Cricetulus griseus: one gene and its partner. The protein of the gene in region 1 purifies or fractionates together with the protein of each later gene. This does not show direct contact. Links are inferred from orthologs where the notes say so. Each region holds a gene or a part of one and is shown on either strand. Other genes may lie near its edges.

Region 1 (9,879 bases):
TTATGACTTCAAGGTCAGATTAAGATAACATAGGGAGTTCTGGGCCAGTCTAAACTACACAGTGAAACCCTGTCTCCAAAGGAAGGTAGGAAAGGAGGGAGGGAAGAAGGGAGGAAGGAAGGAAGAAAGGAAGGAAGGAAGAAAGGAAGGAAGGAAGGAAGGAAGGAAGGAAGGAAGGAAGGAAGGAAGGAAATGTTCTGACTCTGGAGAGATGCCCAGAGGTTAAAAGAAAGTGTGATTCTTACAGAGAACCGAAGTTCCATCCCTAGTCCTCCACAGAGTCCAAGCCCTTCAGTGCTCCGTGGGCGTCCACATGCACAACCGCATGATTAGAAATAAAACTAAAATCTTAAAAATGTTTTAAAACAAATTAAATCATATCTAGGAGAATTCAAAGTTTAAAACACAACCTCTCTTCCCTCTTCCAAAGCATTTTGGAGCCTGCCACTGAGTTCCAGCAGCAGTTGCTTGTGACACAACAGCGCAGTAGACCTGCGCTGGGAGATGGGAGTTTGAGGGTCTAGAAATTCAATTTCAGAAAAGAAAACTTAAAAAATTCAATCCATAGTCATTTCTAAGAAATTACTATGTTTAGGATTATGTCTGGAACCATTTTTTTTGCCATGCACATTTTGGTGGCACTGGGAATTGAGCCTCAAGCCTTGCAATATGACAAATACCCTGTTACTCTAGCCCTATATCCATTTTAATTGGTGTATATTTTACATAAATTAATACATGTGGTGATATATTATTTATGATTTACTAAAGACTGCCTGAAGGATCAGGATGCAAACCCAGCCACACTAGTTAGCTATAGAAACAATGCAGTGGTGGCACACACCTTTAATCCCAGGACTCAAGAGACAGGCAGATGGATCTCTCTGAGTTCAAGGCCACCCTGGCCTACACAAAGATAAAGGGTATCAGAGCTCCAAGCCTTTGATCCCAGCACCTGGGATCACAGGCCTTTAATCCCAGCACTAGGGAGGTGGAGACAGGAGTGTTATGGCTGGGCAGAGAAAGGAATAAAAGGAGAAAGAGATAGGAATTCAGAGCTTTGTGCCTCTGAAATGACAGGTTTGCCATTTCAGCTCGATAGAGAGAAAATCTACAGGCTTGGCTGCTTTGCTTTTCTGATCTTCAGCTTGAAGCTTGAACCCCAGTAGCTGTCTCTGGGTCTTTTATTTTTCATGTTACAAAAATATATATCTATTTTCAGGATAATGTTTAATAAGTTTTGAAGAAATCCATACAGAACATTCCAATTGTCTCCAAAAATCCCTTTATGTTTGTCTAAAAAGAGGTTAATTTGGGCTTATGTTTCTGAAGGCTAGAAAGTCCAAGAGAATTGTACCTGAATCTCCTTGGCTCCTGAAAAGGGCCTCACAGGGGAAGTTAGAAGGAAAATGGAGACTACAGAGAACAGCAGGGGTGGGGGGTGGGAGGGCTGGAGAGATAGCTCAGCAGTTAAGAGCTCTGGCTGCAGCCAGTGGTGGTGGTGTCCCACACCTTGAATCCCAGCACTCAGGAGGCAGAGGCAGGTGGATCTCTGTGAGTTTGAGAACAGCCTGCTCTACAAGAGCTAGTTCCAGGACAGCCTCCAAAGCCAGAGAAACCCTGTCTCGAAAAAACAAAACAAAAACAAAAACAAACAAAAAATTGCTTCCCAGCACCTGTACCTACACATGTGTTAAACACACACACACGCACACACACACACACACACACACACACACACACACACACACACACACACACACACACACACACACGGTGGGGGGGAGGCATAAAAGAAATAAAATCTTTTTAAAAGAAGATAGAAGATAGGACAAAGAGGGTCAGACACTTTTATTCTGGGGCCTGGGGAAATGGGGGGAAAACAACACTCACCATACAGTCATGAGGACCTGAGGGTAAAAGGCAGGTGCACCTCTGTGATGCCAGTGCTGAGAAGGTGGAAATAGGCAGAACCCTGGAGCTCACTGGCCAGCCAGTCTAACAAAAAAGGTGACCTCCGGGTTCAATGAGAGACCCTGTCCAAAAAGTAAAGTGGCGATGGATTGAGAGAGACCCCTCCAGGCCAGTCTCTGGCTCCCACACATACAAGCACATGAACCTGCATGAACATAGGCAGATATCCACATGTATACAAGCACCCAGCCTTACCTTTTATGTTGAGTTCATGAGTGTCCAGCTGTATGTATGTTTGCATGTATATGAAATAAGGAGGTTGACAACTGGTACCCTTCCCCAGGTGCCACCCACTTTATTACTATTTTGTGTGCCCCTGATGGGGAGTGGTGCACATGTGCTATGGCATATATGTAGAGGTCAGAAGACACCTTTGTGGAGTCGGTTTTTCCTTCTACCTTTTTGTAGGTTTCAGGGATCAAACTCAGGTTACCTGGTTTGTAATACAAGCACCATTTTGTTTTGGTTTTTTGAGACTGGGTTTCTCTGAGTAAAAACAGTATTGGCTGTCTCAGAACTCATTTTGTGGACCAAGTTGACCACAAATTCACAGAGATATGCCCGGCCTTTGCTTCCCAAGTGCTGGGATTAAAGGTGTGCACCAACACAAGCACCTTTAACCACTGAACCATCTTTGCTAGACTTTACCTTGTTTGTTGAGACAGAGCCTTTTTTTATTGGCCTGGAGCTCACTAGTTCTGCTAGACTTGCTGGCAGCTAGTCCCAGGGATTTTGGTGTCTCCTCCTCTAACGGATTACAAACACAGATCACCATGATCCATTTACTTTTATTTGGGAAGTACCTCAGTACTTCACTTGTACTTGTGAAGCACTCACTTTACCAACTTGAGTCATCTCCCTAGCACCCAAGAACACGTTTTTTCAAGAGCAAGAACTAAGCTAGACTTGAAATAAAGACATCAATACCCCTGAAAGGTCTCACCTATCAGCATTCCTGCATTGGCAATCAAATTCCACTAGGAATTTTGACAAGGACAGACCACCTCCACACCATAGTAACAGTCTCTCTACTCTTCCCCAAGATGACAACTAGCTTGACTTCTTTCACTGTAGACTAGTTTTTCCTGGCTTAGAATTCCATGGAATACTCTTTTGTGAGATTCTATTTTGTATCTGGCTTCTTTCCCTTAACCATAAGTCCAGAGGATTCATTTGTTGTCTAGTTCTTTGTGATTTCTGAGTGTCATTCTATTAATGTGATCATTGTCATAGTTCTTGGTGAATTCTTTTGTTGGGTACCTTGGCTGTTTCTAGGGTGTTTTTTTTGCTTTGTTTTGATTTTTGTTAATATAAATAAAGATAATCTGAACATTTACATACAACTTTTAGTATGGATATGAGGCATGCTGTGGTTGGGTCACCACAGCCAATTTTGGGCCTGTAGTAACTCTGGTTCAGTGATGTCATATTGATAGTTTGAAATAGCTACTGTAGGAATCTTTGTACCACAACTGGCAAATGCTACAAATTGCAGCTGTTTTCTTCCTGGAAAGCTGATTGTTACCATTTACCAGCATATCATTTGGATATATGTTTTCATTTCTCTAGTGTAAATACTTAGAAATGATGTTGCTGAGCTACATGACTGATTTTTAATTTTCAAATTATTTCTTGTCATGTTTTTCCAGAGAATTTAAAGAAAGAAATCTTATCCTTTTATAGAACCAACAGACTCAACCCATTACATACAAGTTCTCAAAATAACCGCTAACTTGTTTTGAAATAAGAAAACGTGACAGCACCATTTGGGATACAGGGTTCCTTCTAAATTCATCTAGTAGTCAGGGTGGCCATCTGTTACTTTATCCAAAGGAAAACCAAGACTCATAACTTCTGACAAACAAGTAACAACTTTAAGCTGGACACACAGAGGAAGTTCCCACCAGTCAGGGAGATGGGGTGTTGTTATATTCGAAAAAGGTAGTTTCAAGGCCCCTAAGGAAAATTTTCTGTGGTTGTAAAACTGTCAAGACACCAACCTAATCTTTTTTAAAGGGTGCTGGGGATTTAACTTGGGGCTTTGTGGTTCATTCTATTGGTGAGCTTCAAATGGCCAGAGAAAATATGTTTTCTAAAGGAAATGTTCCAAGAAAAAGAACACGTGCGTGTGTGTGTGTGTGTGTGTGTGTGTGTGTGTGTGTGTGTGTGTGTGTGTGTGTGTGTGTGTGTCCCTCTTATTCTTATTTTGATGTCAGGGAAAGTTCAATTTAAAAACTATGTTCATCCTAAAATATGTCCACAAATGGCTGCCACAGTGTTGCATTCCAGATCCACACTCCCCTCTTCACCTAGCCACCTGTGGCCTGTCTTTCAAATTCCTCCTCAACCATTTTCCTAAAGGAAGCCTCCCTCCCTCCAGCCAGACCACCAGCACGGTTCTTCTACTTATCAAGAATTATGGCTACAGTCTCCTAAAGCTGGTAAATACTGGACATCATTTAGTCCGATTGCACCCCATTTTAAGGATAGTCAAACTAAGACATACGAACGTCCTTTAAAATGTGCTTACAGCACTGGCTCCAAATTGCATTTAAGGGTTTTCTCTCGCCCTTATTCTTAAGCCCCTAAAATCAGCCCCAAATGGCCAGAAAATACACAATTAAAATCGAGTCGTCCTCCCGACACTCACACCAAAAAAAGGACAAGCTTTTTTTATTCTGCAGCAGTGTTAGGGTTAAAGTCCTTAACACGCAGTTGTCGTCCAGACTGTGCCTGAGCGCCAATCAGGACAGGCGAATTTGCCCTAGAGACTACCATTTGGGGCCACCCCTCCTAATCCGGAACACGACCCACATTCCGCTGGTCCTGTGTTGACGGGCGTGATCTTCCTCCAATAAGAACGGAGGGCTGAGTCCTGGAGAGCCAATAACAAGAAGCCGAGGGACGGTGGCGGCGGACTGTTAAGAGGAAACAAGAAGACAGGCCCAAGATGGAGGCGGTGGTGGTGGTAGCGGTGTGACAGGTGAGGGCAGGCCCGGTAGGGTTTGGGTTTTGGAGCTGCCGCCGGACCCGGGCAGGAAGTCGGACCGAAAGCTAAGCTCCAAGATGTTTCTGTCTGAATCTCAACACCCCCCGCCCGGAACCAAAGGAGTGGTTTGACCCGGGGCGAGACCATCATCTACCGCGGGAGTGGATAGAGTCCGCGGACAGCCTGCTGTGGTTGCGCCCGCTGCGAGTGGCAGTGCGCCTGCGCAGAACCTAAAGCCCTTCGGGAGGGCGGGACCGGGCCAAATGGGGTCTGGGGTCTGGGGCTTGGGTGCGAGATTCTAAGATGAACTCAAACCCCTCCAAGTGGCTGACATTTCCTCACCAAATCCAGGAGATGCAGCTCTCTCCCATGATTCCTTGTTATCCTAAAAATTCTACCCCTCTTAGGAAAATGTTTGAGGACCGCCCCATTACCCCTAATTCACCTCAGCCTCCTTCCAAGATTCCCCAGTGCGTTTACATCAGTAATGTATTTGTGACCCTTCAGTAGTTATCTGGGAGAATTTTTGGAGACCTTTTCCCCAACCTTACCTCTATTTTCCTCACCTGGATATCATTGTGTTCTTTTTCCTTTCCTTTTAGCAGTGTTTTCTGGTGGGCAGTTATTGCCATTTGCATTTGGCTTAAATGTGTAATTCAGTCTATTATCCATCTGCCTTTCATAGTCCCTAATGACTCCTATTATATTTCTCTTCAGCATAGTGCTTGGTGACCCACTTTGTGAATTCATCACAGTCTGGTGACCTCTATTGGCTATCTGACAGTGCCTTTAATTCTACCCTCAGCCTTGCAGCTCAGGGCTCTGGGATGCTCTCACAGTGCCTTTTAACATCATGGCACAGTCTCCATTTCCTCCAAATGGAGGAAAGATACGACATAAAGATACGACGATCGTCCATTTTTCCGTTCCCTGTCTGTAACTCCTTTTACTATACTATCTGATCTCTTCATTCTCCATTAAAAGCCAGGGCAGCCTGTTCATTCCCATTATGTGTTTGAGCCTTTGTTCTCCAGTACAGTACATACTGACATCCCCATTAGTCTCCAGAAGAATTTTGTGTACTGTGCTTCCTCACTGAGGTGATTTTGAGATCTTGGCACTCAACTGTGAGATAAGCAATAGGAGATTCTGAGCAGAGAAGGGTAAGCACCAGGTGTTAGCATTATCAGGGCTATTTCATGAAATTTGGGCTGCAGGGAGCAATGGGAGCTTGGAGATGGAATTTTATTTGTCCTCTGCCATTCTGCTTTCAAACTATTATTACTAGACCTCGGAATTTTTCCTCTGCCCTCTCCTAGGAGCCCTATGGCACCCGTTCAGTCCTACCTCAGCCCATCTTGACAAAAGCAGGTTCCATGGAACCACCACGAGGCCCTCCTGCTAGTGGGGCTGAGCCATCTCGGGCAGTTGGCACTGTCAAAGTGTACCTGCCTAACAAGCAACGCACAGTGGTGAGTCACTGAGACAAAACTGGCATGTGTTCCAGATGGTCCCAATTGTAAGTCTGGGATAAGAAGGGTGACAAGGGGCCAGGGAATGGCTACTGCAGAGGGATGGGATAATTGGCTAGGGCATTTATTAGGTACTCAAGACCCCAACCTGTGTACACATCCACACATAGGTGACTGTCCGGGATGGCATGAGTGTCTATGATTCATTGGACAAGGCCCTCAAGGTTCGGGGTCTCAATCAGGATTGCTGCGTGGTCTACAGACTCATCAAAGGGTAAGTATGGAAACCCTGTGCCATCCATTGGGTACCCAAAAACCTCTGTTCATCAGTGTCATCTTAGTCCTTCTTTTCTGTCTTGGAGTCTTCCACTAGTTGAGGTAACCCAGGTAACATCTTTTGTTTCACTTCATTCATGGACCTGGAAGGTCTGCAACTCATTATCTACTCAGCCTTCAGGTCCTCATTCCGTCACCTTCCAGAGTTCATCTATTTTGTTCTGTCACAATTTCCTGAACTCATCAGCTCTTTCTTTTCTCATTTCCCTCATGGACTGTAGAATTGGTCTTCAATGGTATTCTTTTATTCCTGTGTTCTTTGGTTCCTTAACTTTTTGGATGTAGTTCATGTTTTACATTTTATCTATTCTTTCAATGTCTTATCAGCCCCATTCTCAGGTGCTGGCTTAATACTTCTGACATTTCATCTCATTTGCCTCTTATCTCATGGTTAAAGATCATGGATTGAATCTGGGAATGGTGGGCATACCTGTGATCCTAGCAATTAGGCAAATCACTTCATCTCTTGAGCCTGTTTCCTCATCTATAAAATGGGAGTGAGAATAGTGGCTTTTTTCTTGGGAAATTTTACCTTCTTTTTTGTGTGTGAGTGTTTTGACTCTGTGTGTGTGTGTGTGTGTGTGTGTGTGTGTGTGTGTGTGTGTGTACTGTGTGTTCCTGATGCTTATGGAGGCCAGAAGGTTCTAGATCCCCCAGAACTGGAGATTGTGAGCCAGCATGTGAATGTCTAGAACTAAACCCAGGTCCTCTGCAAGAGCAGCAAGTACTCTTACTGCTGAGCCATCTCTCCAGCCTAATAGTGACTAGCTGAGTGAAAAGTAAACATTCCAGAGAGTAGTTCATGGATGGGGCTGAGAGGAACTTTTGGAACTTCCTTGTCTACCATAGCCCTAGTCCACCATCCTATTTGTTCTCTCCCATACTCCTTTCAGAAGGAAAACAGTCACTGCCTGGGACACAGCCATTGCACCCCTGGATGGTGAAGAGCTCATTGTGGAGGTCCTAGAAGATGTGCCACTGACCATGCACAATTTTGTAAGTGCGACAGGGTGGTGGGGGAGGCCATGGTGTTGACAGAGAGGGCCCTCAACCAGGCCTGGGTTTTCCCTGCTTTGTGACTGCAGGTACGGAAGACATTCTTCAGCCTGGCCTTCTGTGACTTCTGCCTTAAGTTTCTGTTCCATGGCTTCCGCTGCCAAACCTGTGGCTACAAGTTCCACCAGCATTGTTCCTCCAAGGTCCCCACAGTCTGCGTTGACATGAGTACCAACCGCCAACAGTGAGCCTAGCCTGGGGTGGCTTAAGGGATGGGGAGGACAGAAGCCCAGGTACAAGGGCTGACAGACAGCTGACCTACACTCACAGCCTTCTTGTTTTACACCTTTATGTCCTCAAGGTTCTACCACAGCATTCAGGATTTGTCTGGAGGCTCCAGGCAGCAAGAGGTTCCCTCAAATCTCCCTGTGAATGAGCTGCTAACCCCCCAGGGTCCCAGGTAGGGATGCCTTAGGTAAAAGGCTGGGGGTCAGTGAGGAAAGGGTCAGAGGACCCTGGTAGGTCATATTTTTATCCATTCGTCTACTTCATAAATGCTTATTGAGCATATACAAGTCTGTGGAAGGTCATGGAACTGTAAGGCACCTTGTCACACTGGCTCTTTCATCTGGAAAGAGGGGATGGTACTTCACCACAGTGGGTTGTGAAAATGATTAAGAGTTGAGATATGTGCAATGATTAGTGTGGGATCTGATACAGAGTAAATAATTCTTATTGTTAATTACAAATATACAAACATCTAACTAGTTTGTTTGATTCTTCCAGTATAACCACACTCAAGTCTGTTCTCTTTGAAATACATATTAGTGTATCAGAAAAGTACTTTTTTTTGAGTGGGAAGTTTTATTAGAAAGGGGAGGATACCATATACTTTTATATAATATATAAAAGGTCAGGTTAATGTATTTTTTTTATTTGTAGTTATGAGTGTATGTGTGTTGATTACCCATAAATTTAGTCTCAGGATGGTGAAAGGAACAGAAAAATGTTTTGTGTAAGGTGTGCTAATTCATGGGATGTAGAGGCAAGAGGATCAATAGTTCAAGGCCACCCTCCACTAATCAGCAAGTTCAAGCCTGAACTACATGAGACTGTCTCAAAACAGCAAAAAAAGTTTTTGTAACATGATATATGTGTAATCTTTATATTATATGTGTAATATGTATTACATAATATGATAATATGTATATTTAAAACATTGCCATTTTAATATAGGTAATATATATTATTACAAAATAAATAACATTTGAAAAATACATGTCATTATGATGATATGTAATAAAAAAATCATATCTTACCCTTTCTTCAACTATCTTTGGCCTTCATTGTCCCTCCTTTAGACCTTTTCCCCAATGTCACCCTTTCTGAGAGCCTACTCCTGACTATCCCAGGGACACTTTCTACCTTACTTCATTTTATTTTTCTCCTTTTTGTGTCTATCAGTAGCAGGATATATATATATATGGATATATACATATATCCATATATATATATATATATATATATATATATATATATATATTTCTTCTACCTCTACTAGAATAACCCTACAAGGACAAGAGCTTCTAATTTATGGTATCCACAGTTTGATCTTGAGTTGAGAGTGGAATCTGGTTTACACGAGGCACTTAGTAAATGTTTCTTGAACAGATGGTTACTGGTGTGACCAGTAGACATGTACTATGTATGAGTTAAATGTACATTCAGGGTGGCAGGGTTGGGCTTTCTTTGCTTTCTGCTTCCTTTTGCATCGATTTCATAGCCTTTTCTCTATCAGCCCCCGCACCCAGCCCCGTGACCTGGAGCACTTCTCCTTCCCTGCCCCTGCCAATCCCCCACTGCAGCGCATCCGCTCTACATCTACTCCTAACGTCCACATGGTCAGCACCACAGCGCCCATGGACTCCAGCCTCATGCAGGTGGGTGCCAAGGAGGCAATGGTGGGGAGCAACAGAGCATTGCTCTGAGCCGTTTCTGTTGTTACATGCTCACTTTAACTACTGCTCCCACCCCCTTCCAGTTCACTGCTCAGAGCTTCAGCACCGATGGTGAGAGAATCCCCCCACCCCTTGCCTGCACCCTGAGCTCTCT
Region 2 (9,765 bases), on another chromosome or scaffold:
CACACCTTTGGTCTCAACACTTTTGAGGCCAACCTGGTCTACACTATGAGTTCCAGGACCACCAGAGCTACATAGTGAGACCCTGTCTTAAAAAAATAAACAAAACAAACAAATTTCTCTAGCTGGCCACAACAGTGATTCCAACACTGAGAAGTCTAAGGCAATAAGACCACCCTATGGCTGTTGGACCCAAAAGTGCAGTCCAACCTTGGGAGACGAACCCCACAGAGTCACTCACAGGACACAAGTTCGATGCAAAAACAAAAGGATTTTATTCCAACTCGTTGGGGTCGTTCCCTGGGAAGAGAACAGCCCCGAGTTTCCAAAGCAGGCTTTTTGGTCACTAGGCAGGAGTATGACAACATATTGATTGGCTATATAACATACATGAGTCATTTACTTATTGGTTGGGAACTGAACTTACAATTTTGCCTACCAGGGGTTTGGAATCTTATTTTGGTTTTTACAGCTGTAAGGCCATGGGACAGTTAGTGGTTTTTCTGGGAACAGAGTGACTTATACTTATTTTCAAAACTTGGGTGCTCTGGAGCAGGGTAACCCATAACAATTTTTAGAAATCAGACAATTGTTGAAGATAATAGAAACTAGTAATAATAACAATTTCCAGAGACTGGTCATCATGACCACTATTTCATGTGTTCTTTGTCCCAGAGCTGTGTATGGCCAGAGTGATTTTCAAATACATGCTGATGGGTATCAGGCTAGGCTTGAGTTGGGGTCTTTCACCGTGAGATTGTGCCTCAAAAGACTAAAACACAAATTTCTAAATAAGACATTTTTCTTTTTTTGTTAAGACAAAAAAATGTGGCTTGAATACTGGATAGTTTAATATGAAATAGCATTTCTGGTGTTTTCAATCCATACTAAAAATCATTTTTTTAAATGTCACTTTTTGAGCTGAGTATGTTGTGTCTTGGTCCTTTTCTGGGATACGTAGGGCAGAGCTTATATCCCAGGTGCTGCTTTAAAAGCAGTGTGTCTCCTCTCTGCCTACACTCTTGTTTTGGTTTTGATTTTTTGTTTGTTTTTCAGAGTGTCTAACCATTTTCCTTAAAGCTATCCTGGAGGAGCTAGTGAGCACCTAGAAGGGCCTCCAGCTGTCACTGTCTTCTACTTTGTGAGTGTTGGGATTCTGGGGGGGAATGTTTTACTTTTTTGGCTCTTTGGGGGGCCCAATACCCAGCTTCAAAATAAATCACACATGGAGGCTTATTATTCTTAGTTATTTATACTCTCTGCCTGCCAGCTCCACCTATTCTTGCTCTTGCCTTGCTACTGGCCATCCATCTCTTCATTAGACCAATCGGGTATGTTAGGCAGGCAAACTAAAACAGCTTCACAGAGTTAAGCAAATGCAGCATCAGCAAAAGTCAAACACCTTAAAGTAATATTCCCCAATACAGAGGTTTGCCACTATGCCTTTCTTTTTTAAGTAGATATTATAGCTTGAGAATTTGGTATTTATATTGCAAAATCAATCAGACTGTGCTTTATTTTTCTTTTGCTTTTGTTTTCAAGAAGCTGTCACTATGCAGCCCAGGCTGCTTTGACATTTTTATGTTAAAGTGTCAAGCAAGGCTATATAAAAGGCAGTCCTCATGTTGATCTTAAACACATTTGCAGGACCTTGCTAAACAACAAGAAAGACAACCTTGAAAGTAGCTATGCAGATCTGGAACAAGAAGAAACATTTGCATTTCTTTGCCAGAAATTCCACAGAAATTCTACATCCAAGCATGGTGTACCCTGATAGTCTGTTAAGGAGCTTTTGTGTTAAGTGTGTGGCTCAGTGTTTGCCTAGTGTGCCTAAGATCAGGGATTCACTCCCAGCACCTCCTATAGCATTCATACAGCAGCCGAACCTTTTGGTTTGACAGGAAAGGGATAGTTCCCTGAGGCTCTTAGGAAGAGGTAACAGTGTTCTTTAATGTGTTAACATCATTACTCACTAAATGATTTTAAAACATTATAAAACTGCTTCATAATTTGAATTTAGACAGGAATCATTAATAATAAAGTTGTAGATTATTATCTCAAGTATATTTCTAATATTGATAACAGGGTTTTTTTTTTTTTTTTCATTTCATTGTTAATTCACTTGTTCACAAAGTATTGTGGATCTACCAAGTGACAGCAGCTGCTCAAAGTACATGAGATGGGACAGTGATCCTAAGAGCTCCGGTCCCTCTACTGCTCAGACATGGAGAGTGGGCTATATGGAGAGAGTATTGGGTAACAAGCAGATAGGTAAAACTGTACCTATTGGGGATAATGTAGTAAGTATAGAAGCAGTGAGAATGATGCCGGATTCAGGGTGGGTTGCAGCACTGGGGATCATCAAATCTGGGGCAGCATCCATGCTAGGCAAACACTCTCTACCACTTAGCTCTCCCCAACCCTAGAATTACTTCTTTTTTTGAGCCAGCATCTTGCTGTGTAGCCTAGGTTAGTCTCCAATCCAGGTCCTCCTGGTCAGCCTTATGCTTGATGGGATTACAGATGTGCGCCCACTCCGCTCAGCTCAGGCTTGATATTTTTAACAGTGGTCAGGAAAAATTTCACTGGTAAGTGAACTTAAGCCAAGATTCAAAGAAGGCAAAGGAATCAGCCATGCAAAAAAATGTACAAGGTGGCCCCTGACTTGTGGTTTGATTTAGGATTTTGCAAAAGTGACACACACTTAAGAGAAATGGTGCTTCTTTTGTTTGCTCTGTGGTGAGCCACAGGAGGTTCCTGAGGGTTTGGTACAATCTACTGTGCTTAAATACTGTATTAAGAATTCCCAAGAGATGTCCGGGCGTTGGTGGTGCACGCCTTTAATCCCAGCACTCGGGAGGCAGAGGCAGGTGGATCCCTGTGAGTTCGAGACCAGCCTGGTCTATAAGAGCTAGTTCCAGGACAGTCTCCAAAGCCACAGAGAAACCCTGTTTCGAAAAACCAAAAAAAAAAAATTCCCAAGAGAGGCAAGATAGATGCCGAGGGAGCGGATGGGGCTTTGCAGTCACCCAGGGAAGACTGGCCAGGTGATGGTGGGATTGGAAGAGTCAAGATATATTCTGAAAGTAGAATTGGGACTTACTAATGGGTTGGGTCCAGGATATGAGTGAAAGTCCAGAGTGATTCTAGTCTAGAACCCTGAAAATTACCAAACCTGTAACAAAATGTTCTGTTGGTTGTGAAACCAAAATAAGCACAGCCAAGATGAAAACTACAAAGGTTTGCAACCTGTACTGGGTAGGAAGGAAGAGCATGGGAGCCATTACCAAAGCAAAGCTCTCCACAAACTCCACAAGCACTGGGGATTTCGTTCAGAGAGTCTATAGTCATATGGGAGGAGCCTGGCCATTCAGAAGCACACTCTCTCTAAAGAGTTCACACATCTTTAGACAGGAACACACATGTAGTCTGAAAATGCCTCTGTGTGTGCCCAACTGGTGACACAAAATTAAAATAAAATGGTTACTTTGAAGATATCTGCTATATTAGTTCCTTTTGCTGGGATAAAACACCATGACCAAGGCAACTTATAAATCATTTAAGCCCCGCGGTGGTGGCACTTGCCTTTGATCCCAGTACTCAGGAGGCAGAGGCAGGCAGATCTCTGTGAGTTCCAGACCAGCCTGGTCTACAGAGGGAGTTCCAGGACAGGTTCCAAAGCTACAGAAAAACCCTGTCTCAAAAAACAAAGCAAAACATCATTTAATTGGGCTCAGCTACAGAGGGTCAGAGTCACGATGGCATCAAGGACAGGTTCTGAGCACTCATCTGGAACCCAAGGAGGAGGCAGAGACACACTGGGAATGGCTAGTCTTCTGCAACATGCCCAGAGTGACATACTTCCTCCAGCAAGACCACACATAATCGTTCCCAAACAGCCAACTGAGGACCAGATGCCAGAGAGCATAAGACACTGAATCCATGACATCTGCCTTGTTTAGTTGCTAACCTAGGACAAAGGCAGATGCTATACCACCGAGCTACGTCTACAGCCCCTTATACTTTTTGAGATTTTTAGCTCTTGGCAAAGCAACCCCGCCTGGCCTTTGAACTCACTCTGGCCCGAGAGACACAATCCTTTATCAACATCCAGATGAGCTGGCATTAGACCTGAGATGAGCGCAAGCTTCGATTTTTCAAGACATTCACAAAACGTTCAAATTTCACATTTGTGTCATGAAATGACAATGTTTAATGAAGCCAGATAACCTACTGTTCCTTATTATGTAAAATGAGTTGGGGATGGGGCGGGTGGTGATGGTGGTGGAGGACCTGGAAGCCAGCTGTGCTTAAGGGACTTGACTCTGTTAAGTCATCAAATGGCTTTGAGTTCTGATTCAAGGTTGTAAATCCAAGTTTCTCATTTTCTGTGCACCGAGAGGACAAAACACAACTCTAACCAGACATGGCTTTGTATTTCAACCCTACTCCACCTCTTAGTGACCTCTGCAGGAGCCTATTGAATATTATTCACGGAGGATTTCAATAAGTTGGGTGTGAAAGTAATAACCTTTCATTAGAAAGGCGAGACAGTATAAATGCACTTGGCTTTTCCTTATTTGGAGCACAGTGTTGCCCAGGCTCTCCCTGTCCTCTTAGGAGCCTGCCTGGTAACCCGGCAGGTCGGGCAAGTAGAGACTGCCCCTAAGGCGCACTCAATTGTCTTAACGCTACACCAGGGGATCTTTTCTCCCACGTCACGGGCCGCACGATTTTGTCCCTGCTGTGAATTGTGGGTGTTGGGACAAACATCAGAAGCCATCGGCGAGCCGGCAGCCCGGTGGGAGGCTGGCGACGGGCACCGGGACAGGGTCCCCCACCCGAGTGCTGGCGGCTGCGCCCGCGCCTGCCCTTGTTTGGCCGCGCGGCCTCGGGGGCGGTGCCGTCCGCGTCAGCGGCGCCCGCGGTGACGGCGACGTGCGGCCCGCGCCACTGCTGCCCGCGGACGCCCCGGACCCCCGGAGCTCATGGCCCAGGCGAAGATCAGCGCCAAGGCCCACGAGGGTCGCTTCTGTCGCTCCTCGTCCATGGCAGACCGCTCCAGTCGCCTGCTGGAGAGCCTGGACCAGCTGGAGCTCAGGTGAGGGCGGGCGGGCGGGTGAGCGTGCAGGCGGGGGCGCCTCGGGTGGGCTCCACTCCCCGGGCGAGCGCGCGCGGCCTGCCCAACTTCCAGAACCTTGTGTGTGGTCCCCGCTGCCTCTAACTTCCACGTTTCCAGTAATGCTCTTTGGAGGGAGGCAGCAGCTTAGTGGGGTCTCTCCCTCCCACCTTCCCATTGTAGTAAGTTTCTTTGCCCCAAACCACTTCATAGTAACACAAGAGTAAGGAAAATTCCAGACTGCACCTCCCGCGACCAGCGAGAATTAGACCCACGAGTGGCCGTTGTGGGTGGCAAAGTTGGATGCGTTCTTTCATTTTCTTAACCACGTGCAATGCCCTCCGCATTCGGTCTGTATCTGTTGTGCATTTAGAAGATACTGATGACACCTAGGAAGTGCCAGCCACAGGCCTGAAAAGGTACGAGTCACACTCTGCCTGAGATTCTATCGCAGGATCGGTGTTGTAGTAAAATTTCTAAATAGTAAATACTAGCAAATGCTGTAAATACTTTGTTGCCTACAGCAATTTGAGATCTTACCTATCTGGTTAATGTCTCCGAAGTTGTGCAAGTCTTGATTGTGTGCAGGTGTTGTTCCATGAAAATCTTATCAAGGCACCCTGGGTCTTCTGGAACTGCGAACATTTTGTTCCCTAGTTTTCTCCAGGTTCTGCATAAGCAAAAGAATATGAGCAAAATCATAAGAGTCTTGTGTGCCTAATCTCCTTCCATTCGTCCACCAAACAAACAAACGGGAGGATGTTTGCACAGAAAACTACCACAAGCAGCATTGTTACAAATGAGGCATTTGTTATTATTACTATTAGGAGCAGAGATCCAGACGGTGAGAAATTTTTTTCACAATTTCCTGAGTAGCCACAAGAGAAGCCTTAACCATACAGTCCCCAGCCCGGAGTGAGACAAAGGGACCTCAGCTTTCAAGCCCTTCTGAGGAGAGGGAATGCTTCCCTCTACAAAGTAGGCACTGAACTTGGACAGTATATTCTCAACTGCTCAGATTTTTTTCTCCTTGAAAGGGTTTAGGAAGTTGTTACTCTTCTTTAGCTGAGTCACTGTCCTGAAACCTGAATTAATGCCTCCCTAGTGCTGGGTAGGGGGGTGGAGGGGGTTCCTGAAAGCCTTGGGTTTGGTGTTGCAGTCTAATGTTTGGTTAATGTAAAAGGAATTCTGACTGTTGCACATATGTGATTAATTGATACTTTAACTATTTGCTGAGAGGGAGAGTTTAATGTGTGTTTAATGGCTCAAGGCATGGGGCTCCTTTTTAGAAGCCACTTTGACACAGGGCACTGCACTATTAAAAATTTAGACTTTTAGCTGGGCAGTGGTGGCACACACCTCTAATCCCAGCACTCGGGAGGTAGAAGCAGGTGGATATCTGTGAATTTGAGGCCAGCCTGGTCTACACAGTGAGTTCCAGGACTGGCTTCATAGTTACTGAGAAACCCTGTCTTAAAAAAAAACAAAATAAAACAAAACAAAATTTTTAAATATGGATGATAGAGGAAAGATGAAGCTTGTGTGATTTCCCGATACTAGCTTCCTTGTATACAAATATTAGCAAGGCTGTGGATTTGGTGCTGTAAAACCCTGGTTTGTAGATAGTATGCATTTTCCAGTCAGTTGTGTGGATTCTATTGACAGTGGAAGTCACTTTTTCTTCTGAAACTGAAACCACATCAAAGGCTTTATATCCTGGAGGCTGAACTGACCTCTGGGATTGCCTAAAATGCTTTAAAATGTTCAGCCCTGTTTTACAAGCTGTTAGTGGATTGTCGTTCGTTTCTATTAGTTTATAATATTAACTACACTATCTGACATTAAAAAAAATATTTTCTACTACAGCTCCTCTAAAGAGGTAACCCTGTCCTTTCTTGATTTTTGCGACCAGTTCTATGGGATTCTGCGCCCTTCGTGGCTAGATGGCTTACTTATTACTTTTTAATGTTTATCCTAGTTTATAAATAATACATGTTAGCATCTATCTGCATGCTAGGCCTCATGCCTCTGTGGGAGTTACCATTATCTGTATTCTACAGATGAGAAATTGAAGCTCAGATATAAACGACATGCCTCAAGTTGCAGCCAAGAGCTGTGGACTCCACGTTTGAACACAGGAAGAGGGGCTGCTCAGATCAAACACCATGTGTCTTAGTGTTGAATATATCATTTTTCAAACTGTCCAGTTGGCATAAGAACGTGCTTTTACTAAAAGAAAAATCAATTTAGCATTTAATTGAGTAAATATTGAGCACCCAGTACGTGCCAAGTATTGAGTAGCTTCTAGAAGCTGTGGGTGATAAAGCAGCTGGGTCTCGGGGATTGGCAGAGGAGGAATGAATGATAGGTAGGACTGGGAGGTCGGCTGTCCGTACACTTCCCAAATGGTCCCATAGGGAGTAGTTCTTTCCAGTCCACCCAGGCAGGAAATGATGTTGTCGCCAGGGCCAAGGAAATGCACTGTCCGCTGCTTTGGTTTCTTACTGCTTAAGGTTCCTGTCAGGATGTCCCAGTGTCCCAGGACTCACAAAGCAAGTCGACACCATATTTAATTGGAGTAATAGTCTGTAATTTAAAAGAACACTTTTCATATACCTTGTAATTTGAAACTTCTATAACCCTTGAGGAGGAGGAAGCTGTTATTATCTCTTTCAGCTGTGAGAGCAGTGGGTTGCAAAGGAGCTTAGTTGATAGGATGCTTGTCTAGCAGGTTCAGAACCCTACGTTTGATACCTGGCTTCAGAAAGCCAGCATGGTGGTGCATGCCTATAGTCCCAGTCCTAGAGACAAGAGGATCAGAAGTTCAAGGTCATCCTGGGCTATACAGTGAGTTCTGGGCCAGCCTGGAATACATGAGACCTGTCTGGATGGGGGGGGAGGAGAAACTGAGGGACTAGGTACCTTGTCTTAATCTATTGTACTGGTGAGTCATTCTGACTGTGAATGAGTGCTACATTTTGGTGAAGGAGAGAACCTTGCTGTCCTGACAGTATCAGGAATTGCAGCAGATGCCATGGTCTCACATGGAGCCTCGTCTGTGAGTTTAAGATCTTGTTTTAGAAAAAGTTCCTTTCTCATAAATCCACTGATGTGAACGTTTGCCAGTTCCCTGTTCATAGAAGCATACATTTTTGTTAACAAATGAGAGTGTGGCCGTGAGTAAGTCTAGAATAACCACCGTGAATCTCCTGCAGCTGATGTCATGCATAGCGTTTGACTCATGCCAAAGTTTTCAGCCGGTGCTGTCATTCTGGTTTGCTTTGTTCGGTCACGGCCAGGTCTCCTTATCCTTGGTGTCCTGGGTGAGGACATTTTGGTGAAGTCAGCAGTAGTTCCTCACACAGCATGGGTGGTAGCTCCGGAGTTGTCACTTTTGTGAGCTGCTGTCTGGTGACACCTGTCTGCACCTGCCCTTCTACCAGTTTGCCCTTGCTGCAGGCTTATGAGATGCCGGGAGGCTGGGGACCAAGTGAGGATGCTGCAGTTTTGTGTGCATGGAAATTCTCCCTACAGTCTCTTTGCCAGAGCCCGCTCAGAGTGCAGCTTGCCAGAGGTGCCGCCCAGTCAGCGGGGCTGTGAGATGCCTCCTTTCCCAATTTGGACATGTAGCTGCTCCCTGGATCCCAGTCCCCACAGAAATGCCCCTTGATGACAAGAGAAGAATCATCACATGTGTTTATCAAGACTGGATGTTTATATCTGTCTATCTACTTAAGAAACTAATAGGAAGGGAGGCAGACAGTATATAAGGTTCAGTCACTAACCTCAGACTAATGGAAAAGCTACATAGACAAAATTCTGTGAATTGAGTTTAAGTACAGCAATAAAACAGTGCAAACATAATTTAAACAAGCTGAGTAGTGAGGAATGCTGGCCTAGTGCACATGAAACCCTAGGTTCCATCGCCAGTACAGATAAACCAGGCATCGTCTATGTCTGTAACACCAGCACTCAGGAGGTAGAAGTGGAAAGGTCAGAAGCTCAAGTGGATTCCAAGCTAGCCTGGGATACATGAGGTCCTGTCTCAGAGGGAAGAGGGTGGGGGTAAGACCAATGAACAGTGCTGTCCTGCCTTCTTTTAAAGTCAGCTTGAAACAAGCTAGGGCCATTTGGGAAGAATGACTCTCAACTGAGAAAATGCCTCCATAAGATCAAGCTGTAGGCAAGAAAGCCTTTTTTGGGCAGTGGTTCTCAACGTTCCTAATGCTGTGTAACCCTTTAATACAGTTCCTCATGTTGTGGTGACCCCCAACCAGAAAATTATTATCGTTGCTACGTCATAACTATAATTTTGCTGCTTTTATGAATTGTAATGTGTTTTCCGATGGTCTTGGGCAACTCCTGTGAAAGGGTTGTTTGACCCCCCCCCCAGCCCCAAGGGGTTGAGAACCACTGCTTTGGGATATTTTGTTTTCTTTTTTATAATTAGTGATTGGTGTAGAAGAAGCCATCCATTGTGGGTGGCACCATGCCTGGGCTGGAGTTCTTTCTATAAGAAAGACTGAGCAAGCCATGAGGGAGCCAGCCAGTAAGCAACATTTTTGTAGCCTCTGAATCAGCTTCTACCTCCAGGTTCCGTCCTGTTTGAGCACACGGACTGCATTCAGTGGTGCACTGTGATGTGGAAG

The links.
Region 2: the proteins of Araf (region 1) and Bag2 purify together in Homo sapiens (affinity purification with mass spectrometry; 3 studies listed by BioGRID and IntAct, with this or other methods). This does not show direct contact. The link is inferred for Cricetulus griseus from reciprocal best matches to the Homo sapiens genes ARAF and BAG2.

What each region holds. Positions count from the first base shown.
Region 1 is NC_048604.1:125,697,989-125,707,867, forward strand, and holds the start of Araf (serine/threonine-protein kinase A-Raf), read left to right. Parts: upstream 1-4,801; 5' UTR 4,802-4,957; intron 4,958-5,272; exon of another isoform or gene 5,273-6,126; intron 6,127-6,282; 5' UTR 6,283-6,339; coding exon 6,340-6,435; exon of another isoform or gene 6,436-6,470; coding exon of another isoform or gene 6,471-6,482; intron 6,483-6,605; coding exon 6,606-6,709; intron 6,710-7,664; coding exon 7,665-7,767; intron 7,768-7,856; coding exon 7,857-8,011; intron 8,012-8,128; coding exon 8,129-8,227; intron 8,228-9,550; coding exon 9,551-9,707; intron 9,708-9,808; coding exon 9,809-9,836; intron 9,837-9,879. UniProt on the Homo sapiens protein: Involved in the transduction of mitogenic signals from the cell membrane to the nucleus. May also regulate the TOR signaling cascade. Phosphorylates PFKFB2.
Region 2 is NW_023276807.1:14,223,648-14,233,412, forward strand, and holds the start of Bag2 (BAG family molecular chaperone regulator 2), read left to right. Parts: upstream 1-4,914; 5' UTR 4,915-4,985; coding exon 4,986-5,098; intron 5,099-9,765. UniProt on the Homo sapiens protein: Co-chaperone for HSP70 and HSC70 chaperone proteins. Acts as a nucleotide-exchange factor (NEF) promoting the release of ADP from the HSP70 and HSC70 proteins thereby triggering client/substrate protein release.